Linked DNA regions of Oryctolagus cuniculus. The protein of the gene in region 1 purifies or fractionates together with the protein of each later gene. This does not show direct contact. Links are inferred from orthologs where the notes say so. Each region holds a gene or a part of one and is shown in the gene's direction. Other genes may lie near its edges.

The links. Proteins that work in one complex are often made in the same cells at the same time.
Region 2: the proteins of OSBPL9 (region 1) and VAPA purify together in Homo sapiens (co-immunoprecipitation; 5 studies listed by BioGRID and IntAct, counting the BioPlex papers as one, with this or other methods). This does not show direct contact. The link is inferred for Oryctolagus cuniculus from reciprocal best matches to the Homo sapiens genes OSBPL9 and VAPA.

The regions. Positions count from the first base shown.
Region 1 is NC_091438.1:121,155,451-121,159,101, reverse strand, and holds part of OSBPL9 (oxysterol-binding protein-related protein 9), read left to right. Parts: intron 1-1,171; coding exon 1,172-1,284; intron 1,285-1,392; coding exon 1,393-1,511; intron 1,512-3,651. UniProt on the Homo sapiens protein: Interacts with OSBPL11 to function as lipid transfer proteins.
Region 2 is NC_091441.1:67,118,500-67,122,150, forward strand, and holds part of VAPA (vesicle-associated membrane protein-associated protein A), read left to right. Parts: intron 1-3,134; coding exon 3,135-3,308; intron 3,309-3,651. UniProt on the Homo sapiens protein: Endoplasmic reticulum (ER)-anchored protein that mediates the formation of contact sites between the ER and endosomes via interaction with FFAT motif-containing proteins such as STARD3 or WDR44.

The DNA.
Region 1 (3,651 bases):
AGTAGGAGTGCTGGCGCCGTGGCACGGTAGGTTAATCCTCTGCCTGCGGCGCCGGCATCCCATATGGGCACCGGTTCTAGTCTCAGCTGCTCCTCTTCCAATCCAGCTCTCAGCTATGGCCTGGGAAAGTAGTAGGCCCCTGCACCCATGTGAGAGACCAGGAAGAAGCTCCTGGCTCTTGGCTTTGGATCGGCGCAGCTTTGGACATTGCGGCCATCTGAGGAGTGAACCAGCGGAAGGAAGACCTTTCTCTCTGTCTCTCCCTCTCACTATCTGTAGCTCTACCTCTCAAATAAATAAATAAAAATCTTTAAAAAAAAAAAAAAAAAGTAATAGGATTTGGAGCTGGTGCTGTAGTGCCATAGGTTAATCTGCGACCTGTGGTGGCCAGTATACCATATGTGCATTGGTTCTAGTCCTGGCTGCTCCTCTTCCAGTCCAGCTCTCTGCTGTGGCCTGGGAAAGCAGTAGACAATGGCCTGAGCACTTGGGCCAGCCCCTGCATCTGCATGGGACACCCAGAAGAAGATCCTGGCTCCTGGCTCCAACCATTGTGGCCGTTTGGGGAACAAACCAGTGGATGGAAGACCTTTCTGTCTGTCTCCTTCTCACTGTCTGTAACTCTATCACTAAAATGAAAAAGCAATAGGATTTTATACATTTTGTAGTTTTCAAGGAAACTTTTTAAATAACTGGGAATAGTGTTATTATTGATGTGGGCTTTTATCAAAGGATCTCAAAAATTGTAGACCTGATATGCTCTAGCACTTAGTAAGACTGTTCTAGAAGTTGTTGTGAAAAATTTTTTCATAGGTGTGTTTATACAAGGCAACAAAATCAGAAAATGAACTCATTTTAAACTTGTATGCAGAGGTAAAAATGTCAGTAAATTTTTAAAAGTATCTATGCTAGCGTTTCAGCATGGCTTGGCTAAACACTATTCAGGCAGTTTAAGATGAGAGACTTTTATTTCTAGTCTTGGAATGGGGGTGACAGGGAGTTGGTTGAAAGCACTTACATATGTCAGTAACCAGCAGACTGTAAGACTCTAGTCCGTTTCTGTCACCTACTTGTATTATTGGTTTTAAGAAGTTTTGTAAATTGATGTCTATGATCCTAAATGCATTCCTTAGCTGAAGATGGTGATTAATGTTCATGTTTTTGTTTTTAGTTCTTCTGGATCTGCCTCTGTCTTGACACACAGCAGCTCAGGAAATAGTATGAAGCGTCCAGATACCACAGAATCACTTAATTCCTCCATGTCTAATGGAACAAGTGATGCAGGTAATGACCTTTGAGAATTTTTCTTTTTGTAAGAAACATTTATAATACTGGTAGCAGCACAGATTGGCCCAATTAAATACCAGCCTAAGAAGATGTGTTTTATTTTAGACCTTTTTGATTCGCATGACGATAGAGATGATGACGGAGAGGCAGGGTCAGTGGAGGAGCACAAGAGTGTTATCATGCACCTCTTGTCACAGGTTAGGCTCGGAATGGATCTAACTAAGGTAAGAATCTAATTTGGCATTTGATGTAAGTGTGTGTGTGTGTGTGTGTGTGTGTGTGGTGATTGTGCCTGCAAATGCAGAAAAGGTGACGTAACTTCCTTTTATACTTATGTCTTACTGTTTTTTAATATATTTGTAGACAAGTAAGCTAAAGTTTGTTTATAAAGGAATTAAATAAACGGAACTAAAATAATTTCGAAAAGAGTAGTTTGTATGTGTTGTATGGATTAACATTTGGATTGTATTTGGGGCACATGAAGAATAGTTAGGAGATGGATTAGTTAGTAGTTTGGGCAAAACTTGAAACAATATTGTGAGCACAGAATCAAAATGAACAGAGCTTTGGTCTTGGGGTCAGAAGAGCTGTGTTTACAACCTACCTCTCTGCTATCATCTAACTAATGGGACCCTGAGCCAAGTCCCTTACTCTGTGATCTTCAAGTTCTTTATATTCAAAATGGACGTATGAGGGGGCTTCAAAGGTCCATGGAAAAATGGAATTAAAAATAAGTGTTTTGGTCTGAAAAATTTTGAAATCCACACATAGATTTTTCACAATACAAATTATCCATGAACACAGGGTTGTAAGGATTGAAAGAGGGAGCCGGTACCGTGGCGGAGTGAGTGGAGCTACTGCCTGTCTCACCAGCAACCCATGTGGACATTGGTTCAAGTCCCGGCTGCTCTGCGCCTGATCCAGCTCTCTGCTACAGCCTGAGAAAGCAGTAGAAGATGGCTTAAGCCCTTAGGCCCCTGAACTGATGAGGGAGGCCTGGAAGAAGCTCCTGGCTCCTGGCTTCAGGTTGGCCCAGCTCCGGCCGTTGTGGCCATTTAGGGAGTGAACCAGCAGATAGAAGACCTCTCTCTCTCTTTCTCTAGTAGCTCAGCTTTTCAAATAAATAAATAAATCTTTAACAAAAAAAAAAGGATTGGAAGAGCCATCAGTGTAAAATTGTATAACTCATAATGAGTAATATAACTGCATTTGAATTTTTAAAAAATTTAAATTTAAAATTTAAAAAAGATTTATTTATTTGAAAGACAGAGTTACAGAGCAAGAAAGAGACAAAGAGAGAATGAGATCTTTCATATGCTGGTTCACTCCCCAAATGGCCACACGGACTGGAGCTGATGTGATCCAAAGCCAGGAGCCTCCTCTGGGTCTCCCATGTGGGTTCAGGGGCCGAAGCACTTGGGCCACCCTCTGCTGCTTTCCTAGGCTATCAACAGGGAACTGGATCAGAAGTGGAGCAGCTATGATTCGAACTCATACTCATATGGGATGCTGGTGCTGCAGGCGGCAGCTTAACCCGCTACACCATGGCGCCGGCCCCCTAAATTTGAATTGAAACTCAGAGCATTGAATAGAGTGCTGAGCTTATTTAGAAAGCTGTCTGCCCTCGTCACTCTAGAAGCCTCATACTTTCTCTTCGTTGTCCTCATAGCACTGTTCTTGTCAAGTGAACTCGCAGGGGTTAAGTAAGTTGACTGAATCATAATAAGTGGCAAAACTGAGATTCTACTCTGACCTGTGATTTAAAAAGCTATAATCTTTCCACTGTTGCCCTTGTCTCAAGGATTTAGGCTGTAGTAGCTTTCATATTGATTGGATTACTATTCTACCCAGGTTTGGAAATCAACTCTAGTACTATAATCCTTGTCAGTATTGGACTTCATTTTGGTTTTGAAATAGAGGACCATTAAGAAAAAAGAGTAATCCATAATGCCTTCTAATAAGTGCCTATAAAAAAATCTTTTATTCCTAATCTAAGTGAAAAGAGAAGGACAAAGATAACATTAATTTGTGGAGCCCAACATACTTATCAGGGATATACTAGGTAGGAGAGTATTTGCAGAAGGTTGTCCCAAGAATTGCTTCATAAATTATTAGATTGCATAACAGCTGGTCTTCCTGTCCTTGCCAGGAAGGACATTTGTTTTCAGAAGTGGATCATTATACTTCCTTTCTTCTCTCATTGGCTGGAGCCAAGCATGTGTCCATACCTAAACTAGTCATTGGCAAGAGAAGTTAAATGACTGGTTTAGATTAATCCATATTCGCTTCTTGAGACTGAGCGGGGAGGGTCATGGCAACAGATACATAGCCTGAACCTGAGCGGAGTCAGAATTCTCTAGGGGT
Region 2 (3,651 bases), on another chromosome or scaffold:
GAATTGAAGTTACGATGGTTGTTGAAAAGGAATGCAGAAGTACAGCTCATAGATATAGAGGGCTACTGCAGTAGGCTAAATAATATAAAATAGTGGAAAATGTGTAACAGATTGATAAGTTGTCTTCATTGATGCACAACTTTGACCTTTGAGCTTATTCTAAGTTGTATTAAATATAATGTTAATGCAATGTTACTATGCATCACTTTTTACTAAGAGTCACAACATGCTCAATTCCTTTAGTTTGCTTATTTCATGGTTCTCAGAACAACCAGTCTCCTCTTTCTGGACCAGTCTGAAGCAACTCAAGGAACAAGCTGTTTTCCTGGAGCCAAACCTCATTAATGGAGCTCCTGAATGGAAGCATATACTTAAAGTCACACCTGCCTAGTGTTTCTCCTCAGGGTCATCAGATTGTCACTACATGAATGTCTAAGCTCGTCCTTCCCCCCTTTAACCTCCAACTCAGATTATATATGCTTATATTTTAAATATGCATAAATAAATTAGATTTATTTGCATCTGCTATGTATGTTGACTGTTTTGTAGGGGGACTAAGTAGTATTATGATACAACTATTCTGTATAACTTGTTCCATAACTCAGTTTTGAGGTATGTTTACATTTCCCTATATCCTTTGCATTCCAGTCTTGTGTTTATACTCTACAAATTGGTTATGACATTTTTTTATAATTATAAATTAAGTACAACATCATTAAGAAAGGTTTCAGTAAACAAAGAAAAATTTAATTCTACCATCATAAGAAGATACTCAATGTTGTATTGTTTAAAACTCCAAAGAATGAGAAGCAACTATTTTAACAAACAACTTAAAAAATATTTATTTGAAACACACAGAGAGAGAGAGAGGGAGATCTTTTATCTGCTGATTTACTTCCCAAATGGTTGCAATGGCTGTGTCTAGGCCAGACCAACGCCAGGACCCCCAGGAGCTTCATCTTGGTCTCCTGTGTGGGCCCAAGAACTTCTGCTACTTTCCCAGGCACGTTAGCAGGTAGCTGGATTGGAAGTGAAGCAGCGAGGGCTTGAGATGACTTTCATATGCTGGTGTTGCAGGCAGTGGCTTAGCCCACTGTGCTACACCACTGACTCCTCTAATACACTAAACCAAAATGAAAGGTATTAATTATTTTGGTAAGCCACAGAATGTGTAATGACCTACTGCGTTATTTAAGATGATAATTATGTGTGTATAAATGAAACGCAAGGTAAAAAGTGTTGATTTTTATAAAAATGCATATGAAAAATATTGGAATGTGAATAATATGCTGCACTGTTGAAATGATGGGGGATGATTTCCTTGCCTTCCCTCATAATTTAAAATTTTCTTGAATTTCAAGAGTTTATTTAATAAGGATCCACTTAGGAAGCCCTTGATGATTCTTAGTTAATTTTTTTCTCTTCACTGTTGACTTCATGTATATACTTTGAGTTTCTTAGCTTTTTGGTGAGAGAATATTTTTTCTCAATTCTTAGCAAAAGCCTGAAGGCTCAATGTTCTTCACTTGCCATGTTGTTGACTATTATTGCTGCTTTTACAGAGGAAGACAGCGTGCTGCCTTCGTTGTGATAAGTTGGGCTGGTACTAGGATGGAATATGAGCACATGAGAAAATGATTTTAAAGTGAATTTTAGTCACTTTAAAAAGAATAGGAAAGAGTATTGGCAGAGAAGAAAATGTATCTGAACCAGAGTTTTGATAGTGAAGTTGGATTAGATGGGTATGGTGAAGATTAGAGTGAAGAACAAGAACACTAGCAAGAGAAAAGTGTGGGGACAAACTGAAATATAGGCTTCAGTAAAAAAATCTTACCTGAGAAACCTGAAAGGGGAGAATCCACTGACAGGTCAGACATACACAGTGTTGTGTGTTAGAACCTCGTTATGACATGAATCATTTTTACACTGACTTAGGCATGCTGATTAAGTCACGTCTTCATAAGAAATACTAGTTTGCCTCTTGAACAAACCATTTCTTTATACGTATTATAAATTTTGCTGCTGAGATGTGCAGCCTGTAATAAATCTTGCAAATGAGTGCTGTGGGACACCGTAAAAGTTAATTTTGTAAATGTCTTTGTTTATATGTGACTAAAACAGGTTTATGTCTATCTAAGAAACGTTTAACAAGTAAAAATGTAAATGAAAAAGGCTTGTTAGTACTGTTAGAGAGTGCATTTGTAAGTGATGCTAGCGTGACAGATATTGGGGCACTTTAGACCCTGGGCTTCGGGACCATTTAGCAACTGCCCTTGGTACTCGTCACCAGGCCCTTACCTCTAGTTTGAAGTGCTTAAGAGTTGGTAAGAATTAAGGTTTGGGCGCTCATAGTTTTAAAAATACATTAACTACTACTGAGGTGTAGTATTCCATATTTAAGCACATGCATTAAAGCAAATTATTACTAATAATTTGAAGGAATCATTTATGTTCAAGTTTTAGATCATAGATTCTTTACACCCTTCCCTCCCCCCTTTTTTGCCATATATTTGTGTTTATTCAGTATTTATACCATCCAGTTATTTTTTCCCACTAATAGCAGTTAGTTTTCTTTGAAATGTTTTTTCTTAGCTAGTTCCTAATGTCACTGGAATGATTACGATATACTCCCCTACCCCTAGAACCTTATTTGAATTGCAGAATCAGAGCACTGAAAATGACCTTCATTATTTGGATTTTGATTGGCATCAGTCATTCAGCATGCTTTCATTGAATAACTACCATTGGCCAAAGTGCTGGGTTTATAGGGGTAAATACAAAGAGAAATGGCTCTTACCCTCCCAGCCTTTGAAGTATTGTAGGAAGCAACTTCAAAAATATATAATTATGATATAAGTGCTATGGTGGAGGTAAGTGCCAAGAGTTATGGGAGTAGAGGAGGGAGTGGGCTGCTTGTTTTGACTATCCAAATGCTGACATCTAATGATTTAGTCCTTTTTAAAATTATTCACAGATGACCATACATGTGGTACTTAAAGTTATTATTAATGAAATTAAAAATTGTCAAAACTTTTAAGGAATTTTTGGAAAAGAAGGATGTGAAATGTATATTTTTATTTACTTAAAATCTATATTTGGTTAGTTTAAAAATTCCCGATATCTTTGTAATACAGAATGACATGGAACCTAGCAAAGCTGCTCCACTGAATGCATCGAAGCAAGATGGACCCATGCCAAAACCGCACAGTGTTTCCCTCAATGATACCGAAACAAGGAAGCTCATGGAAGAGTGTAAAAGACTTCAGGGAGAAATGATGAAGCTTTCAGAAGAAAATCGACACCTGAGAGTAAGTCCTGTGGATTGAAAATAAGTTGTAAATAAGTTGATAGAAATGAAAGTGAAGGAAATGGGAATAGCTAGGCCATTTTGCTCTGGTCTTTTTATCGCTAACCCTACCCCTTTTAACAGTCTGACCATGGCTTCTCAAGACCCACCGTCCTTTTCCTCAGCTGTCACCCTGGAAGCTGTGGCTGGCCTCAGCATTGTTTTGGCCCCTTTTGCTTCTTCCCTTCTTGACATTCTGTGCCCCAGCTGTGCAGAACTGTCTAGGACTTCCCTGTCCTCCACTGTAGCCACCCTCACGTGGGAATGTCAGCCAGAGATGTACTGTGAATGTAAAATACACCCTG